Alligator mississippiensis: one gene and its partners. The protein of the gene in region 3 binds, or shares a complex with, the protein of the main gene of each other region. Links are inferred from orthologs where the notes say so. Each region holds a gene or a part of one and is shown on either strand. Other genes may lie near its edges. The genes, in order: AP1S1, AP1M1 and AP1G1.

Region 1 (9,581 bases), on a different chromosome or scaffold from region 3:
CCTACCGGGGCTCACGCACCCACATATTCCTCCCAACATGGCTCTGGCTATACTGGTTTCACTGATCCAGACTTTCTTTTGGGTGGTGGGGGAGGAGCTAGCAGAGGCATGGGAATTGGCAGAGGGAATTGGGGCTGATGACTAGGGGAAAACTGAGGCAGAAGTGGAGGCTTCAGGATGAAGCTCTAGGGGGGTTGGACATCCACCTCCCTGCAAACCCCACCTCAAATATGGGGCCTGACCCTGGCAGAGGGACACAGATGCCTCCCCACCCCACCCCGCCCCAAAGTCACAAGCATGGCAGGGCTCTGCGCACACACTTTATTCCAAAGGGGGGCGTTACAGGGAAGAGGGGGGTTTACACGCACGTGCCGCTGCACACGTGTGCTTAGAGCCTGCCCAGTGCTGGGTGTGGGGGGGCAGATTAGGGTGCCCCCTCAACACCTGTGTACACAGTCCATGCAGGGGGAGGTCCCCCCACACTATTCCCAGGGTCTTCAGGCCCGTGCAAGTGGAGGGGGGGCACAAGATTGTGTCCCTCTCCCAATGCCCCCCACAAGAGTTCCCAGAGACCTCGTTGAAGCCGGGGCAGGAGGGTCGACTGGGCTCCCCTGGACCCTCAAGGGTGCTACGCCAGCCCCATCTCCTCCAGCACGCTGCGTGGAGATTCATCCTCCTGGGGGGGGGGGGAAGGAACACGGGCTCAGTGTACATGTGTGTGCCATGCCCCCCCCCCCCCAGCTTTGGCATGTGCAGACGTATCTGCACGTGCACCAGAGTTGTGTGTATCCCCCCCACGCACATGTCATGCCCCCTCCCCGCATAAGAAGCCTGCGAAAGGGAAGCAGGAGGTTGCCAGTGCCCCCCACCCAGCCAACAGTGATGCATGCTGGGAAGGGGGTGGTGGTGTGGGGGGGAATTAACCCTTCAGGTGCCTTATTCCCCGCAGCACTGGGTCCTGGGGGAGCCCCCCCATGTGAGGTGTTAACCCTTGGGGCACTGCCCTCCCCAGGCCTAAACCCCTGTATTGCCGAGTGGAGGGGAGACTCAGCTGGAGAAGGGGGGGTGGGGGGGTATTAACCTATTCAGCACCAACCCAATGGGGTGAGACAGGATGGGGGCGTTAACCCCTACAGCACCAGGCCAGAGGGGTGGTGTGGGGCTGGGAGGAGGGGTCCGTCAGGAAGCAGCATTCTCTCTGCCCTCCCCCCCCAACTTTGAGAGCAGCTCAGCCAGTCGCCCCCGCAGAGCATGCTGCATCGTGCTGCAGAGCCGGTGACTCATGCCCTGCGCCAGCCGCCAGGAGCCCGCACTGTGCGGGGGGGGGGGGCTCCCCTCCCCCGGCACTGCGACATGGCCGGGATACTGGGGGGGATGGACCCCAACAAACCCTTGCACCCTGGGAAGGGGCAATGGGAGAGCCTGGGGGGAAGCATTGGTGGGCCAGGGGGCCCTGCTCTCAGCCTATCCCTGGGCTGCACCTAATGGGGAGGCCGGGGGGGGGGTATCTCACCTCCTACAACAGGTGGCCTAGAGGGGCTCACCTGCAGCAGGTACAGCCTGGGGGACAGGAGGCGGGGCTTGGCAGCAGGCCTGACTTGGGGAGTGGGTGGGGGGTCACCACATATAGCAAGTCAGCCTGAGGTACTCAGCTAATGGAGCAGGTCAGCCCGGGGTGAGGGGTGCTGCACATGCAGCAGGCCAGAGGGGGCGAGGCCTCGCTGGGGGTCTCACCGCCTGCAGTAAGTTAACTTGGGGGCGGGGCATGGCCAGAGGGGGCGGAGCTACACATTGCAGGGCAGTGGCAGGACCTGGCCGGGGCCTCACCTCCTGCAGCAGGTCAGCCTGCTCTATGGCCTTGAGGACACTCTTCTTGGAGGTGTCCTGGATCTCGCCCCCCATGAGGAACTCATCCAGGATGAAATAGGCCTTCTCGAAGTTGAAGATAATGTCCAACTCGCACACCTGCCGGTGGGGGGGGGGCAGGGTCAGGCCAGTGGGGACCCAGGCATCTGGGCTGCCAACCTCTCAGCCCCCTTCCCTCCCACAGAACCCAGGTGTCCGGGGCCCAGCTCCCGCTGCTGTCACCCCACTTCCCTCCTAGAGATCCCAGGTGTCTGGCCCCTGCCCCCCCCCGGAGAACCACGGCATCCTGCAGAGGACTGACCGGGCAGAGCTTGGGCTGCATTAGCTGGCTCAGCCCCAAGGCCTCGTTAATCCCAATTAGATATGGGCTGAGCCAGGGATTAAGTAGGCCGAGTTAATGAGCTGCCGGGTATGAGCTCCACTAAATCCACCCCCACCCCCCTGGACGCCTGGGTTCGCACTGGGGTCACAAGCTCATCCTGACCCCCCTGACTCCTGACCCCTGTCTGACTCACGCTGCCGAAGTATTTGTCCAGCAGCTCCACGTAGCGGTGGATCAGCTCCAGCGTCAGCAGCTCATTGTCCGGCCCCTCGATGGCGCAACAGAAGTACAGGCTGGCGTACCTGGGTGGACACGGGTCAGTGGCGCGGCCAGATGCCTGGTCCCCCCTACCTGGAGCTGGGTCTCCAGGATGCCTGTGTCCCCCCTGCCCCCGCTGCAGCTCCCAGACTCCTGGGTCCCCCCCTGCCTGCGCTGGGTCTCCGGGATGCCTAGGCTGCCCGCCCCCCAGGCTGGGTTGGAGGGGGTCTGGATCACGCTAGGGGCAGGGCCTCTAGGACACCCGAGTTCCCACCTGCCTGCGCCAGGTCTCCTGGGCACCTGGGTCCCCTCCTGCTTGGCAGGGTCTCCCAGATGCCCCCCTGCCCAAGCTGGGCCTCCCGGATGCCTGGCTCCCCATTGCCCCGGCCGTGGCTCCCGGACACCTGGGTTGCCCCGCTGCCTGGCTGGGCCCCCTGGCTGCCCGGCCCCCGGGCTCACCGTTTGTAGACGACCTTGAGGTCGCGCCACTCGAGGAAGCTGCACATCTTGGGCTTGCGTGCCAGCACCACCTGCATGAGCTCACGCACCATCTTGCGCCGCTCGCGCTCGCCGGCCGCCACGCACCACTTCTGCAGCCGCAGCTTTCCCTGCCGGCTGAACAGCAGCATGAACCGCATCTGGGGGCAGAGGTCGCGGGGGTCACGGGCAGGGTCTCCCCACGCCCTGGGGGCTAAACAGCAGCATGAACTGCCTCTGGGGCGGGTCATGGGGGTCGCAGCTGGGCAGGGAATGGGATCACCGGGGGGCAGGGGTCATGGGGGCGACTGGGCTCGCCTTGGGCCCCCGACACAGAGTGGGGGGCCGGACGCCTGGGGCCTCTGGGGTGGGGCGGGGGCCGGGCTGCTCCAGACACACGTAGACGGAGGCCCGGGAGGGTCAAAGTCCCCTCCGCGCAGGCTGGGGCGGCAACGCCCAGGGACAAAGGTCCCCCCCGGGCGGCGGCTGCCAGCCCCCACGAAAAGACCCCAGGCGTCCGCCCCCCCCCGGACACGCACACACACGCACGCACATCCGGGTTACCAGCCCCCCGCTACCCCCCACAGAAAGCCCAAGCGTCAACCCCCTCCCCGCGAGCCCAGGCGTCCGGGCCCCCCCGCCACGTGCCGCAGGCCCCGCCCCTCTCACCATGGCTCCGCCCCGCCCGTCGCGGCCGCGGGCGCCGGTGCCGGTTGCTCGCCCGGGCCCGGCTCCCCCGCGCATGCGCCGCCGCTTCCGGGTTCGGGGGGGGCGGCGCCATGGCAACGGGGGCATGGGGCGGGGCGGGGCCGGTCTCCTTAGCAACGGGCGGGGAGGGGCGTGGCCTCCCCAGAGCAAAGGACGGGAGCGCCGTGTCCATGGCAACGGGGTGTGTGTGTGTGTGTGTGTGTGTGTGTGTGTGTGTGTGTGTGTGTGTGTGTGTGTGGGGAGCGGTTCTCCATGGTAACCGAGGCAATCAGGGGGTTGTTTCCATGGTAACAGGGTGGGGGTGAGTAAAAGTGATTTGTTTCCGTGGCAACGGGAAAGGCCTTCTCTATGGCAACAGGGTGCTTATCTCCATGGCAACAAGGGGGGCACACCGCTGGGGGGCCACAAGGCACTTCCGCCCCGACCCCGTGACCCCAACCCCTACGACCCCCGACCCAGCAACGCCCAGTCCCTTGCCCCCAGCCCCCCGTGGCCCCCAAACTCCCAGCTCCCCTGACCCTAAGCCCTGCCTCCCAAACCCCACGAACCCAAACCCCTGCCCCCCCCAGTCCCAAAGCCCCTGCCCCCCCAGCCCCGGGATCCCCCAAACCCTCTGACCCCCCAATCTCGTGACCCCCAACACCCCATTTCCAAGACCAGCACTGACAGTAATGACCCCTTAATAATGAATTCTCTTTATTCATTAAATATTCTCAAATGCCCCCAAAAAGGGGCAGCAAAGCCCCCACAGGCCCAGCTTCGGGGCCCTATAAATACACGCAATCCCAGCCCTGATTCAGGGGCGGGGGGCTGGGTCCAGTCCCACCAGGACCACTGACTCAGCATCTCCTGCGGCCAAGGGGGAGGCCCTGGCAGTGGTAAGGGGGACAGGACAGCCCGACCCAGCCTCCCAGTGCTGCTAGAAATATCCCACACCCAAAGCCTCGGCAGCAGGGCCTGCCGACTCTTCGCTGACTCTTGCTGAACTCAAGCTGAGACACTAGATGCTGCTGAAAGTTCCTGTAGGCCTCTGGGAGCACCCCGGACCCATGGAGACCAGAGGTATCGATCCTGGTGGTGGGGGGGCTTAACCCCCCAAGTTATCCAGGGGGTCCAGTCCATTATGGGGGGGCATAAAAGACCCCCCCAAAAAACTCAGGGGTCTATGACCTGCCCCACAAAGAGGACAGCACCTGCAGGGAGAGGAAGGCAGAGTCAGGGGGGTTATTGTAGCTGTGCCCTCCCAGCATTTAGGGGGGTCCCCGGGGGGCAGGGGTGTCACCCAGACGCCTGGGTCCCACGGGCCGTACCAGTGGGATTGTGCCGCAGGATGAAGAGGAAGGGCCGATCCAGGGCAAGCTCCGGCGGTGCCATGCGGGCCACGAACACGGCGGCTGGGGGGAGATAGGGGTCAGAGGGGCCGGGTTGGGGAGGGGAGACCCCCATCTCCCCCCACTAACAACCCAGGTGTCCAGGTTCCCCCGTGCTCTTACCCGTGCCAGCGGCCGCCTGGGTGCCACCCTCCATGACCTCAAACTTGACCTTGTGCAGAGCCTGGGACACGAACAGCGGCTCATCGACTGCAGAAGAGAGTTGGGGGGTCAGATCAGGGAGGGGACAGGGGTTGCGGGTTGGGGGGGTCAGGGGTCACTCACGGGTCAGGCCGGAGAGGTCGGCAGCATGGGGGTTAAAGACGTCACGAATGCCCAGAGCGCGCAAGGGGGTGCGCAGGTCACACTCGGCCTCCAGCGAGAATCTGTGGGGGGGAGAGTGATCAGGGAACCCAGGGGTGTGGGATCCAGCCCCCTCCCCTCCTAGGGAACCCAGGAGCCTGGGTCTCAGACCCCCTGCTCCCACCCCCTACTGTGCTCCCCTACAGAGAAGCCAGGCATCCGGGCTCCCCTACTGTCACCCGACAGCCCTCTCCCACCCCAGAGAACCCAGGCATCCAGGCCCCTGAACCCCCCAGACCTGGGCAGCAGCAGCAGGCGGGGCCGGGGGCTCAGGCCCCGGGTCCAGGCACGGATCAGGGAGGCACTGAGGGTGCGGGCAAGTGGTGCCAGGGGGGCGTCGCGGACCAGGGGCACCGCCAGGAGCAGGCTCAGCCCCCCCCTGGCGTAGGGTAGCTCCACCACTTCGTACTCCAGCCCCTCAGCAGTCGTAAACTCCCCTGCGAAGGAGCAGGGGTCAAGGGGAGGGAACCCAGGCATCCAGGACCCCCCCCACATAGGGAGGAAACCCAGGTGTCTGGGACACCCCCCCCCCCAAAAAAAAGAGCCAAGGGCTCCTAGTCCCCCTCCCCCCCACATAGGGAGAGAACCCTGGTTTCTGGGACCCCCCCAGAAGAAGAGCCCAGGCATCCTCACCCCCCTCCCTCACAGAGAACCCAGGTGTCTGGTAGGGGGGAAGTGTACTCACCATGGAGGAAGCGCCCCGCCTGCGCCATGGTGGGCACGAGTGTGGGGGGACGGTGTGGCACATGGAAGGGGCGGGGCCGCGTGGCACGGGGGTCAAAGGGCCGGGCCCAGGCACTGCTCACGTGGACAGTGTTGGCCAGCACCAGGCGCGCAGCCCCCCCCGCCAGCACCCCCGCGCCCACCAGCTCCCCGATCCGGCCTGTGGGCACACAGTGTCAGTGGGACTCGGGTGTCTGGGAACCCCCACCCAGGGGACCCAGGCATCCAGGACCCAAGAGAACCCTGGTGTCCGGGCTGCAACCCATGGCCCCCACCCAAAAGGAACTCAGGTGTCCAGGACCCTCCCAATCCAGGGGACCCAGGCATCCACCCCTGCCCCCACCCAGGAGACCTAGGTATCCACCCCCCACCAGGTCCCAGGCATGCAGCTCACCATGGGTGTGGGTGCGGGCCCAGGCATTGATGGCGCGCCGGGCACTTGCGGGGTGGCGGAAGTCGACGCGCTGTAGCAGGGGTGCGAGGACAGTGGTGCTAGGCACCAGCGGTAGGTCATGCTGCACAAAGATGCCGGCAGCCAGTGCCACCCCTGCGCCCCCCAGTGCCACCTCCAGCTGCCCCGCACCCGGCTCTGCAGAGAGGGAGAGAGATTAGTGGCGGCTGGCTCTGGGGGGATGGGGGCTTAAGGCTATGTAAAACGGGCAGGATGCAGCTGGCTCTGGGGTGGGACACTGGCTGGTTATCACAGGACACCCCCCTATGCAGTTGGCTGTAGGGTGAAGCATCAGGGGCTAGCTAGAACAGGGCAGGGATGCACCTGGCTCTGGGGTGGACGTTGATGTCTTGGTATAACAGGGCTCTCCAGTGCAGCTGACTCTGGGGTGGGGCATCAGGGGCTGGGTAAAATAGAGCCTGGATGCAGCGCCAACGCCAGTGATAATGAAGCTGGGATGTGGCTGGCTCTGGAGTGGGCCATCAAGGCCTGGGTAGAACAGGTTCTAGATGCGGCTGGCTCTGGGGTGGGCCCTGGGACAGATAACTGGGCTCTGTGGGGAGCTCAGGCCGGGGGTAACAACTCATACCATGAGGGGCATATCCAGCGGCAGTGCGGAGCTGGGCCTGGCCTGGCCCACGGGCCACGAGCTGCAGGGCACGCAGGAGGGTGGCGGCACCAGTGGGCGACAGTGCCGCATTGCCAGGGGCTGCAGCTACCACGGCCTGGAACAGCCGCAAGCCCAGCGCCGTGTCCAGCGCCGCCACGTGGGCCACGTCCAGTGCTGTGTCCGGCACAGGGGCCACATCTGGCTTGGGGGCCGCATCCAGCGCCAGGACCAGAGGGTCTGCGGGCCCTGGGGCACCCACCAGTGCCAGTGCCCCCCAAACCAGAGCCCACAGGCTGCACTGCATCCTGGGGAAGAGAGAAGCCAGTGGGACCCAGGTGTCTGGGAGGTCAGACCCACCCCAGAGCACAGAGAACCCAGGCATCCGGGCCCCAGCCCCCTTGTCCCCCCCAGATGACCCAGGCACTGCGCCCCAGCCCCCTTGTCCCCCCCAGATGACCCAGGCACTGCGCCCCAGCCCCCTTGTCCCCCCCAGATGACCCAGGCGCCGCGCCTCAGCCCCCTTGTCCCCCCCAGATGACCCAGGCATCCGGGCCCCAGCCCCCTTGTCCCCCCCAGATGACCCAGGCGCCGGGCCCCAGGCCCCTCACTTGTCACGTGGAGTCGGAGTGGGTCCGGGATCGGGATCGGGATCGCGCTCTCCGCCGCCGCTGCCTTTATGGCCCGCGGGCAGGAAGCGGCTCCAGACACCGCCGCCCCCGCCCGCCCCGCCCGCCCCGCCCGGGTTCCGTGGACGGGGGGTCGGGGGCCCCGGAGTTCCCTGTAGGGGCGGTCGCGGCCGCCTGGGCACCGGTGTAGGGAGGTCCCGGTCCGGACGCAGGGCTCTGCGGCGGGGTCCAGGACGCCTGGGTTGCCCCCTGGGAGAAGGGGATTAGCGGGCGGGGGGGCGGGAGTCTCTTCCCCCCGGGCAGGGAACCCAGGCGTCCGGGCGGGGCCTCGGCCCCAAATAGCGCCCGGGGTTTCCCCCGCCCCCCCGCGGGCCCATGACGTCACGGAGGGGGGAGCGGGGTCGGGGGGAAGAACCCAGGCGTCCTGCCCCCCCGCCCCCCCGCAGTGGCCGGGACCTGGGGGGCGCTGACTCACGGCCCCGCCCCCATGACGGATCCCCCCGGCATGCGCCCCCGCCCCCGCGGGGATCCCAGGCGTCCGGGCCGAGGGGGCGGATTCCAGCCCCGCAGTGGGACGGGCCCGGCTTCCGGGCAGGATCGGGACCTGCGCCCAGACACCGGGACGGCTCGTCACCGTTACGCGGCCGCGGCCACACACACACACACACACACACACACACACGTGTGTGTCTGTCTGTGTGACGGGAAGCCGGGGAGACAGCGCAGAGACTCGCGGCGGGGCCGGGCGGGGGAAGCGGAGTGAGGTTACTAGGGACACACACACACACACACACACACACACACACACACACGAGACCCAGGTGTCCTGGTTCCCCCCACCCTGGCGCACGTGTGTGCCCACGTGTGCCCCCCCCCACGTGTCTGCCACAGAGGAGGCAGTCCCGGATGCCTGGGTCTCTGCCGGGGGGGGTGAGTCAGCGGCGCCTGCACATCCCGGCCTGGGCGGGGGCTTCCCCTCCTGGTGCTGGGGGTCTGGGTGGACCCGCGGGCTGGGGGGGGACATGCTGCTCTCCGTGCTCCCCCTCCCCCGCCACGGCCGGACACACACACACACACACACACGCTCTCTGCACATGGATCCACAGACGAACACACTCCGCCTGCCACGAACACACACGCATGCCCCCCCCCCCCCCCCCCCCCCCCCAGTCCGGGCTGCAGTGGCCAAGTCCCGCCAGCAGGAGCCGCTCCGCTCCGCTCCGCCCACGTGGGGGTGGGTGGAGGGGGGCGGGGCACGGCAGTATTATGCAAATAAAGAGAGAGAGATGCATGGGTGGACGGGTGTAAGTTAAGTAGGTCGATGTGTAGGGATAGGTAGATAGGTATATAGATGTAGAGGTAGGTAGGTAAGTAGCTGGCTGGCTGGATGGGCAGATGGATGGATCAGTGGTTGAGCAGATGGATACATGGATGGACAGGTAGAGAGACGGATGGATGGATCAATAGATGGATGGTGGATGGACACATGGGCACGTGGGGGTGGATGAGCAGTCAGGAAGGCAGGCGGATGGAAGGGGGCACAGGTAGATGGATGCATGGATTGGTGGGTGAACAGAGGGATGGACGGAGGGAGGTAAGGACAGGTGGGTGGGTGGGTGAGGCACACCGGGATGAAGGAATAACCCACCAGGCAGACAGATGGGTGGAGAGAGGCACAGAGAGATGGGGCAGGGCTGGATGGATGAATACAGGCCATGAGGAGATGCCCATAGGGACAAGGGATGGATGGGTGGATGGACGGGTGGGCGGAGCGATGGATGGATGGACGGATGGACAGATGGAGGAG
Region 2 (9,093 bases), on a different chromosome or scaffold from region 3:
ACAGTATCATTGAATCATAGAAATTTAGGGTTGGAAGGCACGTCAGGAGGCCGTCTAGTCTGACCCCCTGCTCAAAGCAGGACCATCCCTAAAGTCCAAAGTCTTTTTCTTTTTAAAAGCCACTGTAAACAAAACCAACCCCCCCCCCTCAAAATCAACCCCATATGTGCTAGTAATTAGAGTTTTGATTGTCTCCATTAAAGAGCATTTGAAATTAATTGTTGCAGAGTCATAATTGCTAATTTATAATTAAGTTAAACCAACAAAATAAATGCAACTATCTCATTTCCCCATGAAAACCAAGGATCATGTCTTCAATATATTTATGACATGTTTGCTAAAATGGAAAAGTGTAAATTATACACCCGTTATTTAACAATTTATAATATTTATCTGGTGGGCATAATTTTGAGAAGAATTTGCCCCACTGTTGGTTTTAACAGTGTTAACTAGGCGTTATCTTGATACTCTGATCCCTCTCGGCCTTTCAGGTATAAAACTGAAAACATACTGGGAGGGAGGGAGGGATATAGGAAACTTTCCTTTGTTAGAAGAGGGAAATGCCCTCTGGCTCTGGGTGCAGAGTTGGACACAGACCCGTCGGTTACAGCAGAGGGTTCGATGGGGATGTCAGGAAAAACGTCTTCAGTGTCAAAACAGAGGCAGCGGACCAGACATCTGGGGAACCTGGAGCCTGTCCGCGAGGCTGATGGGCAATGGTCGGAGAGGACCTGTGCGTGCCACGCCTGCGCTCTGCTGTGGGGACTGCCCAGGCTTCAGGGCTTTTCTGGGCCCCATATGGGGCCAGGAGGGAATTTTTCCCTCAGAGGCGGAGAGCCGCTGCAGCCAAGGCTGCGACTCACGGAAAGTCTTGGCCCTCCGCGGGTCAGAAAGGACTTCCCCCCAGGTCTCTGCCGTGTCCCTGGCCCTCTCTCAGGGATCCCTGCAGCTGACTCTGCCTTGCAGCCAGCCGCAGGGCGGTGGCTGCTGTGGGCTGTCGGCCTGCCCGGGGCGGGCACTGGAGGGCCCAGACGGGGTCTGTGGGGGCTGGCCGTGCCCCACAGCTCCTCCTCTCTCCGGGACTGCACCCAGGACGGTCCCCGCGGGGAGCTCTGCGCGCCCGGGGCTGTTGCAGGTCCCGGGAGCCGCGGGCTTCCCGCCGGCCGGCGCCGCGCGCGCGCTCCCTCACTCCGGCTGGGCTGGTTGCCATGGCGCCCCGCCCCGCCGCGCAGCGCAGCCTATCCCGACGCGCCTGGCGGGCGCGGCCCGGAAGTGCTCTCCACCCGTAACCCGGAAGTGCCGCGAACTCGGGGGAGCCATGGCGGAGTACGAGGGCGTCCAGCGCGGCTCGCTGCGGCTCAAGGCGAGCGGCGAGGCCCCGGCGGCGGCCCGGCGGTAAGCACCTCCTCCGGCGAGGGAGGGCGGCGGGGGCGCCCGGCTTCCCGCGCTACTTTTCATGCCGCCGCTCTGGCTCTGTCCCCGCAGGAAGAAGAGGAAGGACAAGGAGAAGAGCAAGATCCGGGACCAAACCGTGAGCAGCAAGAAGCAGGAGGAGGAAAAGAAGCGCGGCCTGGACAAGCGCACGCCCGCGCAGCTCGCCTATGAGAAGATGCAAGAGAAGAGGGTACGGGCCGGGCCGGGCGGCTCCTGCTGCCGGCACCGAGCGGCGGGGCCCGGGTCGGGTGGGTGGGTGGACGGGCGAGTCCGCAGAGCCCCGGCCCGCCCGCACGAGTCCGCGCTCTGCGGGAGTCGGAGCTGCGCACTCGCAGCGGCCCTGACCCAGGTTACTTCCCCGAAAAGATAAAGTGCAGGTTAAAAGGGAGGTGTTTTGTTGCGGTGAAAGGAGCTAGCATGACAGCGACCTGTGTCTGTTTTCACTTTCTCAGCAAATGGAAAGAATCCTGAAGAAGGCTTCCAAGACCCACAAACAAAGAGTTGAGGTGAGGATACGATTAGCCTTGTTCACAGTGTGTGTTCCCTTTGCTGTCTAGTCCAAATTATCCACCTGTCAGGATATGCAATTCAAATAGTTATTGTTCTAATATGTTTGTCTGGAAAAATCTCTTGCCATAAGTAATATGAAAGCTGTAACTTGCATGTTCTGGGCTCTGCTTGCTTTTTTAACAGGAATCAGTGGTGGGTGATTAGCAGGCATCCTGGTTTTCTGTTTAAAAATCAGTTTCTCTGATAAGAGGCAATGTTCTCCAGTTGTAACCTGCAGTCAGCATTTTTCCGTGATTAAAATGAAGTGCTACTATCTATATGGTATCAGTTCAACATCATGTTTTATTGATATATTTACTTTTTAAAGCAATTTGGAGGCCTACCAGTGCCTCAGTCATAAAATAAATTCTAAATACCTATATACTTTAGCATTTGATTTTGTTTTTTTATCATGGAACATCTGAATTCCCCCTGCCCCCTTTGCTCACAAGATGTAGGCCCAGCTGTGGCTGTCCCCTCCACTGCTTTGTAGCACTGAGATGACAGTCCCCGGGCCTTGCTGGTGCACCTCACTCCTGATCTGTTGCCCCCAGCCCCCCAGTGCATAAGGAGGGAGTGGGTATAGGCAGTGTGGTGGGGTGTGGGCATGTGCTGCCCAATTTCTGTGCCCACAGCAGGGCATAGAGTGCAGGGCTGCAGCCTGACCATACCAGCTCTGGGCAGGAGCCACCTATGCAGCCCGGCAGGTGGGACCCAGCATGGGAGAGAGCACCTCACTGCCAAGATGAGGCCCCCTGCCTCCCCAGCAGCAGCAGGGGGCACAAGTCTCTGCCTCTGCTGCTGTTGTGCCTCACCTTGGCAGCCATGGGACTGCATCGCTCCCTCTCGCTCTGGGACCCGCCTGCTGGGCTGTGGAGGGAGGCACCTTCTGCCCAGAGTTGGTCTGGCCCAGCTGAAGCCCTGTCCCTCCGCCTCTGCATCACCTGTACATTTCCCCCACGACTGTTGCCTGTGTCCCCATAGACGTACCTGGCGGGAGATGCTCTCTACCACACTGACTAGCTGATGCATGCATTTCTATGCGCACACATGCATGTGACACCCTGTGTCTTGCTTCCCACAGCCCCTTGCAGGCTGGAACTGTGCCAGCCTGTGAAGGAAACCCATGGCTTCCCAGGTTTTTCCAAAAGCTCTTGGAACCAAAAGTTCTTGCCATCAGATATTGGAATATGTACCAGACTAACTGAGGCATGAATGTAATGAAATGTGATGGATTAGGATAATCTTTACAGAAAGAAAAGTTGATAATAGAGGAACACATCAAACTGGTGGGCTAAGAAAGGTAAATTTGATTGGTATCGTGTATTGTCTTTAAATACAAGAACACAGAATTATTCAGTTAAATTTAAAAGGCTACCAATTGAAAGCTGCTAAAAGGTAACTAACCCATATGGTTAACAGCCACAGGATACAATTAAAGCCTAGAATTCAGTGGGTTTCAAAAAATGGATTAATCATTTTATAATGAGAGGATGTTAGAGATATAAATCCACATGATTCAGATCAAAAGCCAACTGGGCTATCCATTGCATAACTGTCTATTGTACAGCTTTTTGGCACCTTTCTTGGTGGCACCTGGTACAAGATGCTGACTAACGGGATACTGACCTAAATTTTCAACTCATTTAATCTGGAATTACTAAATTTAAAGTAGGCAGAAAGCATGTTCAATATTCCAGAAAGTTGACACACACTTTTTTTTTCTCTCCTAGGATTTTAACAGACACTTGGATACTCTGACTGAACACTATGACATCCCCAAAGTCAGCTGGACTAAATGAATAGCTTTTCTTACTCGGTTCTGGATTATGAGAAGCATTTATATTGGGAGGATTTGCCTAGCGTAAATTTCTGTGATCTCTGCATTGGATACCTAATTCATTTTTTAAAAAACTTTTGCATGCTGGCAGTACTCTTTAAGTGCTTGTTTAGAAATATGTACAGCACACCCCCACCTTTACTGAACAATGAATAAAGGCCCTAATCCTCCATTTATCTGCAGAAGTCCCCTTTTTTAGAGTTTGTAGGAAAACTTCTGGAGAAATTTCATATGTAGGGTGTAACGATCACTGGTTGACAGTGCCTTCTTTTGAAACAAATGTTTTTGACAGTCTTTTTTTAGATGCAGACAAGTTACCTTATTGAATTGTTCCTCCCTGGGTACTATAAACCTGTAATCTGTTTATAACTTTTCTAGAAACTCTAGAAGGTCAAATAAAAACTGCATTTAAAATAATTTTTAAAAAATGTACCTGGTGTAGGGGATGAGGAGGGGATCTTGACAGCACTTTTCCTCTGAGCTAGGCTGTACCTGCTAGCCTGTGTTTGCCGTCTTTAGCGGAACCATAAATGCAGCTCTGAGCACCTTGTAAACGCACGTTGGGGTTGTTCCCTCGCACGTGAACGGTGCCCCTTTCTGAGCCCCCAAATCCTGCTGTGCACTTTGACTTCCTCGCTGGCCCCCGAGCTCGTGTACAGCGCGTGTAAGACGTGGCACAGAAGAAGCGGCAGTGGGAATTCAGTTACTGCTCTCGGCTGTCTGCTGCCTGTGCTGGGCAGGGCCCGCCCGCGGCTCAGCACAACGCAGCGCGGCTTTCTGGGGACAACTGAGCACCGGAGCGGAAGGCTCTGACCCGGCGCCTCTTTGCCGAGCCTTCCCGGCACCGGCACCGCCCCCGCTGGCCGGCCCAGGACCTCACAGCGATGGCGGCGCGCGCGCGTCGCCAACCCCGGAAGAGGGGACGAGGCCCCGCCCCGCGCGCCGGGTCGAGCTTCACAGCTTCCGGCGGGGGCGGAAGCGGGGCTACTTCCGGCCGGAAGTGCGCGGGCGAGGCCGCGGGGGGCAGGAGCCGGCAGCATGTCCGCCAGCGCCGTCTACGTGCTGGACCTGAAGGGGAAGGTAGGCCTGGCTGCGGGCGGCTCCCTGGCGGCCCGGCCGCGCCTCCCCATGTCCTGCCGCCCGGGGCCCGCAGGACAGGCCGGCTTCTCTCGGGCCGCCCCTCCCCTCCCCTCCCCGAGGGCTGGCAGCGGCGCTGCCCGAGGAGCACGGGCCGGTGGGAGCCGCTCCGCTGCGCGCAGGCTTCCCTGAGTCCCAAGGGGCGTGTTTCGCTTCTCTGCCGAGCGGCAGCGCAGGCTCTGTGCTGTCTGACGGCGGGTTTGTGCACGTCTCTAGCTGCCAGGCGTCCGCACACCCTCCTCACGGCGGAGCAGTGCCGTTCTGTCGGTGCAACACTTCTCGGTCCATGTATACAATCTAATTGGAGAGTCGCCCCAAACTTGTTCCCCCACCCACCCAGCTGCAGCAGCAGATGGGGGGGGGGGCAGCCAGCGGGGGTGGACTGGAGCAGCTTGCCTCCTGCTGCCGGTCGTTCACCCCCACCACCCTTAGCCCCCTGCATCCTGATCCCTTTGTGCCTGTCGCCTTCTGGCGAAAGGCTCCCCACAGGCACGCCACCTCACTTCCCACCACCTTGGGGCCCTGTCTTTGCTCCCTTCTGGCCACCCCTCCCTGCTTACCCTGGCTCCAGAGGGCTGCCCCTGCTCCATCCTGGGGCAAGAGCGCCGTGGCCATGCGTGGCGTCCCAGACTGGAGTGGGGACAGCTTGCCACAGCAAAGGCGATTGGGGGGGAAGACAGCAGCTGCAGCTCTGCCCAACCTCCAGTCAGGGTTGCAGCCACAGCAGCTGCCTACTCTTCTCCCTCCATGCCTCCCCCTCACAATAGTTGATCCCAAGATAAGGGTTTTTTTCCCCATGTTAAATGGGAAAAAAATCTTGTCTTGGTATCAAATACAGTGTGTTGTAAATAAAAGATTTCCACAAGCATTTTGTAATTTAAATAACCAAGTGGTTTGTGGTTCCACCATACAAGTATCAATTTTAGTCACTCAAATTAGTTGACCTCCATTTCCAAAGGTCATGTATGTTATTCAGATGACCACTTCAGGTGTGTTGTCCATTTGGTTCTCTATTGTACTCATCCATTGCAGGTCCTCATCTGTCGAAATTACCGTGGAGATGTCGATATGTCAGAGGTTGAGCATTTTATGCCGATCCTTATGGAAAAGGAAGAAGAAGGAACACTTTCCCCCATTCTAGCTCATGGAGGAGTTCGTTTTATGTGGATTAAACATAACAATTTATATCGTATCCTTTGGAGTATAGGCTACTTAATAGGGTGGAAATGTTGACCGTGTGAATTTTCACAATGGAAGTCAGCATGGCGGGGGAGAGGGGGGGAAGGTTTTGCAGAGATAAAAAACAGTTAAGGTCAAATTCCCATTAAATACCCTATGAACCAAAAATATATATGTTTAAGTGCCAGTGCAACCAGTATTTTCTCAATGCTTACCTGTCTTTGCTTTTCAGTAGCTCAGCATTTAGAAATGAAATGGCATACCTAATGAATGGTTTCCTGAGTTTTTGGGTCAGCTACAGTGCCTTAGTAAACGTTTTTGAAAAGGGATTTAAAAATAAAATTAAAAAAATGGGAACTTTGAACAAACATTCCTAAACTTACTTTTTTCAGTTGTTGCAACTTCTAAGAAGAATGCTTGTGTCTCTCTGGTGTTTTCATTCCTCTATAAGGTGGTTCAAGTGAGTACACAATTGATAAAGTACTATTGTTCTTTCAGGGAAGTCATATTGTTGTTTACAGCTTTAGAGGTCTTTGAATTCTTACTGCTGCGTAGAAATAGTACATCTAATTATGCTATGGTTATATTTTGGTGATCCTTTTGCATTAACTACTAATATTTTATTATTGCACATCAGAAGGGCTTTGACAAAAACAAAAATCAATACCTTCCTCATTTCAAAGAGCATATAATCTAAAAGATACCCAGAAAGGAAAATAGGAAGCCCAAAAGGAAAGGTCATCTTTGGGACAACTGCTTTGTATGCACAACTAGCATTGGAAAGATTAGAAAAATGTAGTGGCATGGTGAGCTGAAAAAGGATATAAGGGGCAGGAACAGGGAAGGAAACAAACATAACAGTTACTGTAGAGGAAACCAAAAGTGGGAGATACAGGAATATTGTTGCACAATTACTTGCAGTCAGCCTTGAAAATATGGATGTGACTAGGGGTGCACCGATAAAGACTTTCTTGGCCGGTACCAATAGGGGATTATTCAAGAGGCATATCGGCTGATACCGATCCAATAACCGATTTCCAGGAACACAGCTGGGCAGTGTCAAGAGCAGCTCCCGACAGGTAAGTCTGTGGAGGGAAAGGGACATGGTGGAAGGAAGGGGTTGGGGCAGATCAAAACCCCCACAGTGTGGGAGGCAGCAGGGTAGAGGCTGGGGCTGGAAACACTGCCCAAGCAGGGCAATGAATGGGACCCTGGGGCTGGGGCAGTGAGCAGGATGGAGCTGCAGGCAGCTCATTCAGGGGATGAGCATCTCGGTGCCTAAAAATGGCAGCAGGGGTGCTTGAACTAAAGCTCATTAAATGAGCTTTAGTTCAAGTGCTGCCGCCATCATTTTTAAGTGTGGGGATGCTTTTAGGAGTAGGGTGGAGGTGGGCTAGCTGCTGTGGGCTCAGGGCTTTCTACCCTGCTGCCTTTGCCCCAGGAGCTGTGCACTGGCCATGTGTTCCCTGACCACCTGGCAGCAGGAGGCACAACTTGCCACCCCCACTGCTGGGAGATGGGCAAGGGACATATGGCTAGCGCACAGCTCCCTGGGCAAAGGCAGCAGGGCAGAGAGCCCTGAGTCCATAGCAGGCAGCCCGCCTCCACCCCACATAAAAATCCAGAGGAGCATGTGCCCTCCCATGCCTGAGCATGCATGCAGCAGTGGGGAGCCACCACCTCCTCCCCCACGCACCCTCTGGATGAGCGGCCCACAGCTGTCACACTTCCTGGCCTGGCCCCAGGGTCCCATTCACCATCCTGGCTGGGCAGCCCCTCCAGCCTCTGCCCTACTCCCTCCCTCACCGAGGGAGCCCCAGTCTGCCTTCCCCCATGCCCCTTTCCTCCCCCACACCCCTTCCCCCCCCCCCCCCCCACAGACTTACTGCAGGGTGCTGCTTTCCACACTAACTGCATTCCTGGCCAGGTGCATGCACATAGAGTCTGAGGGCCCCTGCCAGAAGGCATATTATATTTATCAGTTAACATTATTGGCTGCACCAGCCACAAAGAGCCGTTAGCCAATAATGTTAATTTTCCTTTTATCGGTGCTGATCCAATATGGCACCAATATATTGGTGCACCTCTAGATGAGACTTTTAAAATCAATGCCATGTGCAAGTAAAGGCTAGTAGAAAGAGTCAAAATAAGAATGTGATGCTTAGAATGAAAGTCAAGGAAGATGGATTTGTACTTTATTAAAGAGGAAATTTTGTCATTTTCCTATGAATGTGTTTTGGAAAAAAGTAAGCTTTATTTCTTTGACCTTCCTTGGGCATGTGACTTTGAGGTATCTGTCCCTTTGGACTAAGGCTGATACTGATTGTGCTTCATCAGTGTTGTATGAGACAATGTAGTCTCTGTGCCTGGTTGGCTGGTTCTTGGTGAAAGGCATGTTTCCTGGAAGAAGAATGTTTTCCTTTGTAGCTAGGCATCTATCTTGCGTGTTATGGTTCACTTCAGTTTTCAGGGATTGTTAAACTAATTAGCCAAGTCAAATGCATGGAGGCGCATTCTTATTACTAATAAATATGCACATCATTCAGTCTGGAGCATTCCAACTACTATAAAAGAGTTGCTGTGAATTGGGGAAAGCACTCCTCCTCAGTGGGCAGGTTGAAAAAAGGGCTTTTGTGGTGTAATTGTATCATTGTTCCGGCGGCATTGGTTTACTGAAGATTTCTGAAACGCATAAATGTAAGGGACCATTAAGAGCAGCAGAACAGTGGGGAAGACGGTCTGTTAGTTGAGACATGCTCTGTGTGGGACAGAATTGCATTATTTCAGGAATTTTCAGAAGCTGTAGTAATTTATGTCCAAACAAAAAACTGTCTTAAGATGTTAAAATAAAAAGCATTATTCTAAGCAATGAGGCTGAGGGAACTGGGCTTATTCAGTCTGAAGAAGAGAAGACTGAGGCGGGATTTAAAAGCAGCCTTCAACTCCCTGCAGGG
Region 3 (9,873 bases):
CCTCCGTAGTGTAACAGCAGGAAAAACACTTATTGCTCTGGGAAGCTCAGCATGCCAGTGCCATGGACAAGCTGCGGCCAGCCCATTCGACAGCCTCTCCCTTGCTACCTCAGACTCCTGCCCTCCGCACACCACACCCAGCTCCCTCTCTCAGAAAGGTGACACGGATGCCTTGCAGCCTGGCCTGAGCCACGGAGAGGAGATCCCACTGCTTGCCAGGCCTCAGCGTCCTTCCTGCTCGGGGCCCTGGTGCTGATGCCATGCACGGGTGGCAGCTGGAACCCACCTTCTGGCTACGGGCCTTGGCTGGGGGAGCAGAGCAGCAGCGAGAAGGGTCACGTCCACTACAGCTTCCTGCAGCTAGTTCTAAGCAGCGCCTCCCCCTAGGCACGGGCAGGCAGCGGGCCACGATGGCAAGGGGCAACTGCACCCACTAGCAGCTGGAAGTGCAGAGGCCACCACCCCCTCTGTCCAGAGCCCTGCCCTGTGAGCAGGGGGCACCAAGCAGAGGAGACAGGGGCCAACATCCAACACCAAGGCCCTCACACTACCAGTGTGGGGGGTAGAGGCATTTTGAGCTCAGAGGCCCTCAGAGGGGTCACCTCTGTGCACAATCAGTCCCTGTGCTCACACCTTGCACACAACCACAAGTCTCTGTCCATACCACTACAGCCATGCCATGGTTACATTCTCCCTTGCTTAGTCCCCTGCCTTAGACTGCCGGAAGCCACAGGCCAACTGCCTACCTGTGACACAGCAGGCCTACAAGCTGCAAGCAGAACAGGAGGGACAATGTTTAGGCACAAGCTGGGCACCTGGACCAAATGGTGCAGTACAGGGCAGGCGGCTACCTCTTTGCTGCTGCTGCCCAGGGGACAGGAAGCTCAGGCAAGGTCACTGAGGCTTTAGACCATGGGATTACAAGGACGGGTGGCCTGACCTGGGAAGCTGCAGAGTCAGCACCTGTGCCTGGGCAAGGCCACAGGCATGAAGGCTTGCGATACTCTCCTGATTTTAGGACCAATACGGCAGGGAATGTGACTGCTCGCCTGGGGAGAGGCGGGTGCTGATACTTTGGAAACAACAGAAACCGTGTCCAGGAGTGTTTTGGGGCCCTAGGGCTGGAGGCAGGAGACAGGCATGTGGGAGGGGACATGCTCTGGGCACTGGGCTCCCGTGTACTGTAGAAGCACCAGGGCCAGCTCAGTCTGAGGCACATCAAGGGGGATTTGAGTGAATATTAACAAGCTCCCAGGAACAGCTGCAACCAGTGTTGCAAAACAACATGGGACAGATCAGAGGTTCAGGGGGTGCTGAGCGCCCTGCCCAGGCAGGGTGGTGCCTCCAAGCAGGAGACAAGCCCAGGGTTGAAAACAACAGAGTGGTAACAGAACTAGGGTGAGAGCAGCAGAATCCCAGCAAGGGGATCAGGGCATGTGCCCTCCAAGAGACACCCACCCTCAGCAGCAGGATCTGGACACAGCTGACAACCTGAACACCACACAATGTCTACTCCTGCACAGACAATGCCTGGGTCTTGTCCTTTCTTGACCCCTACACCCATGCCATCCGAGGCAGCTCCATGCAAGGCTGCCGGCATGACTGAGTGCTGCCCGTACAGCGTTATCCCTGAATGATGCCTCAGCTTCAGCCCATGTCCACCTTCCCCATGACTGGTCTCCATTCTGTGGGGTGGCTCGGCACTGGCACCCAGGGAAGAAGCCCCAGCACAGCCGGCACAAAGACACCTATGACATGGCCCAAGGGGTGGCAACGCTACTCTGAACACTCCTGAATGACTGGTGGCAGTGAATGCCTGGCCTAGACGTGGCTCTTCCATGTCTGTAACTTTTCTGGGGACTTCGCCTGGAGGGGGCGAGCAGCCACCGGGCAGACTTCCCTCGGCTGCAGTTTCGTGCTCCCCAGTGGAAGGACAGGTTCTCACGCTCGCTGCTGCTCCAGCTGCCCAGAAGCCTGCCTGCAGCTGAGCCCAGGAATGGGACATCTGAGCCAGAGGGATTTTTCCTTGGAAGCAAGCACATGCGAAGGGAGGTTTGAAATGCAGCCTCGCCGGCTCCTTTGCTATAGCACCTGCCACTAGGAAACACAACCATCGGACTCAGATTCGGTGGCAAGTAATTGCGTTTGGCGTTATCACAGGAACTACCAATACCTCCTGCCACAGCACAGCTGCCTGAGGCCCCTACTTGCCCACACCCCACTCCCCAACCTGGCCCTCCCTCTCTGGTTTCCTTCAACGCTTGCAGGGGTTTTGCTAGCAGAAAGTCCCATGGGACTGAGTGGAGGAGACATGTCAGGGAGAGGCTGTCGGAGAAACACCTGCCCCCACCCCAAGAGCTCAACATGTGACGAAGTGTCCTTTTAAAGTGCATGTGTGAAAAGTGGGGAGGCTGGGAGCGGTGCCCCTGGCCCCCGCAGGGACCCAGCTCCCCACCACCATAGAGAGGAACAAACACTTCCGATACTGTATCTGCTACCTTGGGCTGTGGCTTCCTGGGTCCGCCCCTCCCGCCCCCACCCCCGAGTGCTCCATCCCCGGCCTGCAGGACGCTCAGGCACTCAGGGGCGTGCGAGAGCCCCGAGCTCTGGAATGCTTGTGGCCACACAGCCATGACCACATCCCCCATCCTCCATCCCTAACTCGCCTGTTGCTGCTGCTCCCTGAGGCACTGGAGCCCTCTGGATTCCAGGAGAGGATCTGATCAGTGACTGAACAGGAACCGAACCAGCTCTGCAGGCAGACAGCAGCCTCGCCGGTCAACCCGTCGCTCAGTCTGTGCAAAATCTCCACCTGACAAAGGGGGGCTCAGCCAGGGGCATGACCCAGGTGAGGGCCTCGCAGCGTTACTTCCCGGCATTCGAGCGCCCTTCAATGGACAGCTTCACTTCCTGGGGGATGAAGGAGGGACGGAGCAGGGATGGCCGGGGCTCCTCCCCCTGCGTGGTACATCTTTGGAAGTTGGGGGCTGTCCAGCTGTGCTGGCCACCCGGCTCAGGCTGGGAGGGCTCCGCACAGGCAGCGTGGGCAGCGCTGTCCCTTTCTGCCTGGCTCTTCCTCTCACTGTGCAGAGGTGCAGGGGGGTGCTCTCTGGACCCCTGCACCATTCTGTCAGCTCGCTCCCTGGCAGGCACAAGCTGGGTCGCGGGAGGGCAGGTCGCCTGAGAAGCAGAGTTGCCATTCATGTTCTGCAAGCTGATGGAGATGCAGACATCCCCCACCTGCAGCCTGTGGCAGGGCAGGGCGAAGAGCTGGGCAGTCCGCGCCGGGCTGCAGGAGGACCAGCCCTGGCCATACACGAAGAAGGGGTGCTCTGGGGGCACGTCGATGCTCACTTTGCTCTGCTGCTCCCCCACTACAAAATGCAGCATGACAAACCCAGGCCATTGGCTCTCCTGGATATCAACGACTGTGCTGGAGTCGATCTTCAGGCCCCCGCTCACCTCTGCACTGCGCACAAAGTCCTGGGTCTGCAGATCTTCCACCCGCTTCAGCTCTCCGGTGGCCAGTTGGATGATGGCTCCTTTCATGAAATGGGAAGGCAGATGGGAGGAGCTGGGGGGCTGCACCGGGCCCAAATCCTTGTCCAGCATGTTCCCCCGGGCCAGTGTGTTGGGACTCTGCCGTATCAGGGTCTCTGAGGAGGAAGACCTGATGGGCTCGGACCCGACCGGCACTAAAACCGGCTTGCCGTTGGCTATCGCCATTCCTTTGGTTAGCTGTCTGTATCTGGCTGGCTCCTCGGGGGACATTGCATATGGGCTCCTGGGCTGGCTCTTCTCTGCAGCAGCAGCAGCCGCCTCCATGGGACTCCTCCACAAGTCCCCAGACTCCCCTTGCTGATCAGGGATGTTATGGCAAAGGTTTAAAGGGCTCAGGCCATCCTTCTTCTGGGCTGCCAGAATCGGGTAATCCTGAGAGGCCAACACCCCAACCACCCTCTGTACCTCCAGGTCAGTATCCGGGGTGCTTCTGTGAGCTGGCACAGAGACCTCTGCTCTCAGAGTCTGGTAACCTGAAAGGAACTGTCCATCCAACACGCACTCCACGGCCGCCCCACACAGCTGGGCTTCGGCTTTGCTGCTGGCACAGTCCACAGCCTCGCCAGTCCTCCGCACCACGTGATGCTCTAGATGTCTCTGCCCGCCATTGGCAGACGCTGCGTCCGAATTCAGCTGATTCTCTTGCGCGGGAGGATCCGGGCTTCCAGCGGCAGCAGACATCTCGTACGCAGAGAAGCCCGGGGGCAGCCGGGACATGTGGTAATAAACAGGAAGCCTCCCCTGGGCTATGTCCAAAGGCTGGGCGCCAGCATGGTGCTGGACCTGGCTGGAGGGGGAGAGGGCAGAGGCAGGCTTGCTGAAGGCGTGGGCGGGAGAGGTAGTCGGAGGGGAGGCGGCGGCAGCGGCGGCTTCCTCGGTCAGCAGAGAGGTGTATGGCACGAAGTGGGGCACGTGCGAGGCGCCCAGGCCGGCGGAGGGCGAGAGCAGGGGGCCGGGCAGGAAGCCGGGCGGCACGGCGTAGGGCACGGTGTAGTGCGGGCCCACGAGCTGCAGCGAGGCGGGCGGCAGCTGGGCGTAGTGCAGCGGCGGGTAGGGCACGCCTGCGTGCGGCAGCAGCGACGAGGCCACGCCGAAGGCGGGCGGCAGTGGGCTCATGCTCACCACGGGCGGCGGGAAGGCGGCGGGCGGCACGGCCACCTTGTACAGCAGCCCGTACGGCTCCAGCGGCGGCCCCGCCTCGGCCCCCGGCCCCGGCCCCGCGCCCTCCCCGGCCGGCCCGTAGCGCGAGGGCGGCGGGGGCGGCGCGGGGCTGCGCGCGGCCGCGCCCCGGGCCCAGGCGGGGCCGTCGCCGGGCGGCGCGTGGTTGGCGGCGCCGAGGGGCGGGCGCGCCGCGTCGTGGCTGGCGGCGCCGGGCAGGTCGCGCTTCTTGGGGGGCAGGCACTCCTGGCTCCGCTCGTGCGCCGGCCTCATGCTGCCGCCGGCCCGCGGGCCCCGCCGCTCCGCGCCGCCGCCTGCGCCTCACCTGCGGGGGGAGGGCGGAGGACAGCGTCAGCGCCGCCGCCGCCGAGCCCCCCGGCCCCGGCCCCGACCCCGCTCCCCTCCCCGCCACTCACCCGCCATCGCCCGGCGCCGCCGCCCCGGCCCCCATCGGCCCGGCCCGGCCCGGCCCGACCCGACCCGACCCCTCCCCGCGGCGCGGCGCGCGGCGATGACGTGTAGGCCGCGCGCCGGAAGCGCCTCACCCCGCGGGGGCTGGGGCGCACGGGAATGACGTTTGGCTCTGTGTTGCCATGGCTACCGGGCACCGCCCGGGCCCGGGCCGGCCTGTCGAGCACATCACACAGCGCGCGGCGGCCCGAGCGGGCTCCGCGCAGCGCCGGTGCCCTGGGCTCGTGCCACCTGGCCTAGGCCCGCAGCGCCGCACGGGCTGTCCCGAGGCCGCGGGCAAGGCACGGGGCGCGACGGAAGTGGGCGGCGGGCGACAGGAAGGGGCGGGGCCGGCTGGCGGGCGGAACCTTGGCGCGGGGCCGGGGGGCCCGATCGGACGGGTACAGCCGCGACACCCACGGCCATCAGCGCCTGACGTCATCACTGCCTGCCACGGCGCTGCGCAGCCTCCGCGCACAAGAGAACGCGGCGCTTCCGCCGGGAAAAGGAGTCCCCGGCCCGGCCCTCGCCCGCGCTACGCGCCCGCCGCGCCCGAGGTGAGTGCGCGGGGCGGCCGCGGCGGCTGCGGCGGCGTCCCCAGGGGCGAGCAGGGGCGGGTGCCGAGCGGGCGCCGCCCGAGGGCGCGGATCCCTCCGCCTGCCGTAGCGGTGCTGAGGCCGCCGCGCCGCCATTTTGAACGCCTGGCCCTGCCGCCGCCTCGTCCGCTGCAGGCGCCCGGCCCGGCCCGGTGAGTGCGGCCCCCCCGCCCCGAGCCCCGGTGTTCGCCCCGCCCCGCCCCGTCTCGATCTTCTGCCCCGCCCCGTCCCGCCGCGGCCCCCGCCGGCCCTGCTCTGCTTGGCAGCCGCGCCCGCCTTCCCCGTCCCGTCCTCGGCTTTCCCAGCGCCTCGTGTGCTTCTGCTGCCTTCCCTGTCCCCTCCCGGACAGGTTTTCCCGGCACCAGCAGGAAGCGGACGAAGGTTTTACACGTCTGTCTCGGGGGCGATAGGTATTTCTTCTCGCAGGGGTCCCTCCGGACTGGAGGGTGCCGGCCGCAGCGGGCCATGCGTTCGCCCCGGGGCTCGCATGCGGCGTGCGCGTCCCGCTCCGGCCCGCGCGCGGCGGTCTGCAGGCCGACTGTTCCCGAACAGGCGATTTTGCGCGTGCAGACGGGCGCCTGCGACACGTCCCGAGGGGCGAAGCCGTGGGGCCGCTCGTGTCGCGTTGGCCGGCCGCGGCGAGGGATCCTGGGATGGTGGCACCGTCCCCTCGAGCTTGTCCAGCTCCGCGCGCGTTACAGCGACTGCCGCTTCCTGTTTCGGCTTGCGTTCACTGGCAGGGGAAAAGCCTCTTCGCCGCCGGCAGCGAGCGTGTTTTTCCTGGAGACCGGCTCCGACGTGGCGGCGCTGGTTGTAGCCGTTGTGCGACGCGCGAGGCAGCGGTGTGGAAACGGGTCTCCCGGGGGTGCTGGCGACTTGGGGTGTATGCTTCTTTGCTTACTCCCCGACTTGGCGGTGCCTCTTCCTCCGTGGCGCCCCGGGCCCCAGCACTGCAGCTCACAGCAGTAGAGCAGTTACAGATTTCACTTTTCTATTTAATATATTGCTGCAAAATAACTTGCTTTCTTTTTTGGCTGTGGTGTGTTTCACACTTGGTTTCCCTGGCTTCAGCATCTGTTTTCTCTTGCTACACTGGAAGCTTATTTTATCTGTTTTCAGGGCCTGTTCCTTTCCCCCTGTTGTGTGCACGGTCTTTCTCTCTCTCTCTCTCTCTGCCTGTCTCGCTTCTCGTTATCTGCTTGCATCTGCTCTCTGTGGGGGATTCACTTTACCAGACACCTGAGAGTTCAACTGAGGTGAGAAGTTTTGCTCTCCCAAGTATGAGCAGCATGGACCCCCTCTGCTTCTCCTTTAGGCTGGGAGTTCACCTTCCTACATGGGTGTGATTCCTGGATCTCACATGTATATTCCTCCTGCTAGGTATCTGGTAGGTTTGAGACCTCATCCTAGGATGTACAAGGGAGAAAATGAGCACTTTGCTCTGGCCCTAACAAGAGGCTGGTGGCTGCTGTGGGAATGACTTCTCTGCTAGCCTGTCCTTGTTCTGAACTCCTCTTGGTTTGGAGGGTTTTCTGCTCCAGTGAACAAAGCCAGTGTTGCCTTTCTGCCTACGCCAGCCAAACGGCAAGAGAAGGCAGTCTGATTTTGGAGAGCGCCCTGCACAGGGTCCTGCATAACATCACAGACAGCGAGGGAGGCTGGGAACTTTTCACACGACTCCTTGGCAAAGCTCGGGAGAGCAGCCGGGCCCTAGAGATGGTAGCAGACTTAGGCAGGTGCTGCACTGATTCTTCATGTTTTAGATTTGGAAAGTCACTCTGGACCTTAAGTGGTAGAAGCTTCTTAACACATTTTTGGCACTTAGCAAGGAAAACTTACGTTCCCTTTGAGAGTGGCTGTTTAAGCCCTCTCTGAGGTTTTGGTGATTTCCATAGCCTGAAACTGACCTTCGGTTTCTTACCGTGCTAGGAATAGGCAAACTTGTTTGGAGTGGCCTATTTTAGATCTTTCTCTGATGCTTTCTAGGGCAAAGTGTCTGCTCTACTGTTGTGTCGGCAGCTACATTATTGGATTAGGATTCTTGGTGCTGGTAATTGCAGGACATGTAGCAAATCAAGCTGAGGCTGGTAAGTGGTGAAGAGTCATGGTCACCTGATGAATGTGCCAGACAGTTGTGCTTGAGTTGCTTGTGGGCCCCTCCTTGTGTTACAGGTGGCAGTAATTGGCTCCATGCTTGTAGTTTGGCAGAGGCCACAAGTTGAATGGACTGGGGAAGTTGAAGGCTACATCTGCTCTGAAGGTCATGCTTCCTGGGCTTTGGCTGAGGTCACCTGACAGCATGCAGTGATGCTGCCTAAGCAGTGCACCGTGAGCCCCAGGGTTTCCATCTGGCCTTGAAAAAGGGTTCTTCTCTGCTGGGCTAGAGCAGCAGCCCAGAGGTTCTGGGGTCTGCTCTGGAGCTGAAAAGATGCATCTGTATATCGGAAACCAGAGCTGAGTGTTGATCGTATTAGCAGGAACAGAGGAGAACAGTAAAGGGCAGCATGGTTGTGGTGACTGAGGTGTGGGTACTCTGGCGTTGTAATCCTGCCTGTCTCACTGATTTATGGTGTGGCCTTGGTGATCTCCCTCCGCTCTCCATTGCTTAGCTTCTAAAGGGGTAATATTCACTTGTTCAGCCAACCTGTCCTGATGCAGACACTTGAGCCTTATGCACAGTAAAGATCATAGAGAACAATATTGGTTCCCCCCCTCCACTTTTGGGCCACCTGGAATTGTTTTATCTTCAGAAGACTCTTGCTGCTTCAATTTTTTTTAATGCTGCTGGAGAAGAGTGCTGCTTCCTTTGTGAGGGTGTTAAAGGCCTGGCTTGCAAGAATGCTGTCTTGATATTTAAACTCTCTTCCTGTCCGATACCTTTGTGTAGCCCAAAGCAATATTGACCCTTTTTATTTCCATATTGCTTTCAAACTCCTGTTTCTTTTCTATCTCTCTGGTCTCTTGCTGTTACCACTTCACCATTCAATTTAAATATTTTTTTTTACCTTTCCCAAGGGAGACTAGCTTCTCTGTTTCCAGGTTGAATTTCATGCTGTTGTTTCTGATAACTTTTCTTACTTCTCAGTCCCTTCTTATTTAATTTGCCATTCTGCATGGCCTCCCACCTTTGTTTGTGGTTTACCCTTTGGGGATGAATGTTATGGAAAATGAAGTGAAACGCTGGTGTCTGAAGCGCTCCAGTGGGCTGTCCTCGGGACCTGATATGCTTCTGTTCACAATTATGTTCTTGCCCTGTCTGGATCCATGTGTTACTGCTGCTGTTCAAGCCCATTTGAATTTTTCAGTAGCATTTAGGAAGAAAACTGTCTGTGCTCTCTTACTTCAGTCTAGCCATATTCCACATGGCCCTTTCCTTTAACCCACAAAGGGCTTGATCCTCTGCCATTGAAGCAAATTGGGGAGTTCTAGCATTGGCTTTGAGCTGGCTCTGGCCTGATTCTTCTTGGTGTGAGGAGTGCAGTGTGTTGTATGTAGATCTGAGTGGGGTGATTTACATCACTTGACTTTTAAAATTCATCACTGATTTAAATCATGGTGAGATAATTGATCTTTAGATTTTTTTTTTTAATCTAAAATCTATAATGGACTAAATCATAGAGGCTTTCTTCAGGAGATGCCTGTACTAATAGAGTAATGTGCTTGAATCTGACCAAATTGCTATATGCAAAGAACAAAAACAAAAAAACCCCAACCTCTGCCCCTCTTCAAAAGCTCTAAAAACTAAGCCCCAATCCTCTAAACACTTAAACTGATATGTAGCTTTATACCTATTAACAAGTCCACTGACTTCAGTGCGACTGTTCATGTTCTTAGTGTTTGCAACATTAGAGTAACTCTTATTAAAGACTTTTTAGTGACAAAACCTCTGTCCCTTCCAGACAGGATTGCTTTAGTTAAGTTGTATACAGTTTCCTTAAGTTATTGTGAACTTTTTGTGTATACATAGCTTAACATTTCTCAAAACACCAAAGAGTGAGATTTTTCAAAATCTCCTGAATGACTTAGAAGCATGAGTTCTTTTGTCTTCAGATTGCAACCCTTGCTAGAAGAGTAGCTTGATTTGGTGCATTTCATTGTTCCTGATTTG

Evidence for each region.
Region 1: the proteins of AP1G1 (region 3) and AP1S1 are in contact, whole or in part, in a crystal structure (PDB 1W63), measured with the Mus musculus proteins. The link is inferred for Alligator mississippiensis from reciprocal best matches to the Homo sapiens genes AP1G1 and AP1S1. Residues at the interface, in NP_001288140.1 of Mus musculus: Leu7, Arg8, Ile11, Arg12, Arg15, Leu54, Tyr55, His57, Met58, Gly60, Tyr61, Lys78, Phe79, Thr80, Arg83, Ile84, Leu87, Met90, Leu91, Asp94, Glu95, Thr115, Phe117, Leu123, Cys124, Gly127, Cys128, Tyr152, Lys155, Lys156; in NP_031483.1 of Mus musculus: Met1, Leu14, Arg15, Leu16, Gln17, Lys18, Trp19, Leu21, Ala22, Thr23, Asp25, Arg28, Lys29, Arg42, Lys45, Met46, Cys47, Ser48, Phe49, Glu51, Lys56, Gln74, Asp75, Asn76, Glu77, Leu78, Ile79, Leu81, Glu82, Leu83.
Region 2: the proteins of AP1G1 (region 3) and AP1M1 are in contact, whole or in part, in a cryo-EM structure (PDB 7R4H), measured with the Mus musculus proteins. The link is inferred for Alligator mississippiensis from reciprocal best matches to the Homo sapiens genes AP1G1 and AP1M1. Residues at the interface, in NP_001288140.1 of Mus musculus: Arg24, Glu25, Gln28, Lys29, Ala32, Arg35, Ser36, Arg39, Glu40, His64, Phe65, Gln67, Leu68, Gln97, Val99; in NP_031482.1 of Mus musculus: Ser289, Asn318, Asp319, Ala320, Asp321, Ser322, Trp334, Pro336, Glu337, Asn338, Ser339, Gly361, Leu362, Pro363, Ser364, Val365, Glu366, Ala367, Glu368.

The regions. Positions count from the first base shown.
Region 1 is NC_081838.1:23,552,956-23,562,536, forward strand, and holds AP1S1 (AP-1 complex subunit sigma-1A), read right to left. Parts: upstream 3,698-9,581; 5' UTR 3,668-3,697; coding exon 3,593-3,667; intron 3,085-3,592; coding exon 2,906-3,084; intron 2,491-2,905; coding exon 2,382-2,490; intron 1,966-2,381; coding exon 1,828-1,965; intron 677-1,827; coding exon 629-676; 3' UTR 308-628; downstream 1-307. Other genes in the region: SERPINE1 (plasminogen activator inhibitor 1), read right to left, coding at 4,787-4,824, 4,942-5,025, 5,125-5,211, 5,287-5,387, 5,603-5,801, 6,050-6,247, 6,482-6,676, 7,128-7,452. UniProt on the Homo sapiens protein: Subunit of clathrin-associated adaptor protein complex 1 that plays a role in protein sorting in the late-Golgi/trans-Golgi network (TGN) and/or endosomes.
Region 2 is NC_081839.1:225,160-234,252, forward strand, and holds the start of AP1M1 (AP-1 complex subunit mu-1), read left to right. Parts: upstream 1-4,796; 5' UTR 4,797-4,861; coding exon 4,862-4,903; intron 4,904-5,828; exon of another isoform or gene 5,829-5,992; coding exon 5,993-6,149; exon of another isoform or gene 6,150-6,531; coding exon 6,532-6,599; exon of another isoform or gene 6,600-6,686; intron 6,687-9,093. Other genes in the region: protein FAM32A, read left to right, coding at 1,319-1,395, 1,486-1,624, 1,887-1,940, 3,717-3,785. UniProt on the Homo sapiens protein: Subunit of clathrin-associated adaptor protein complex 1 that plays a role in protein sorting in the trans-Golgi network (TGN) and endosomes.
Region 3 is NC_081833.1:77,567,577-77,577,449, forward strand, and holds the start of AP1G1 (AP-1 complex subunit gamma-1), read left to right. Parts: upstream 1-5,608; 5' UTR 5,609-5,726; intron 5,727-5,813; exon of another isoform or gene 5,814-5,917; intron 5,918-9,873. Other genes in the region: ATXN1L (ataxin-1-like), read right to left, coding at 2,866-4,992. UniProt on the Homo sapiens protein: Subunit of clathrin-associated adaptor protein complex 1 that plays a role in protein sorting in the late-Golgi/trans-Golgi network (TGN) and/or endosomes.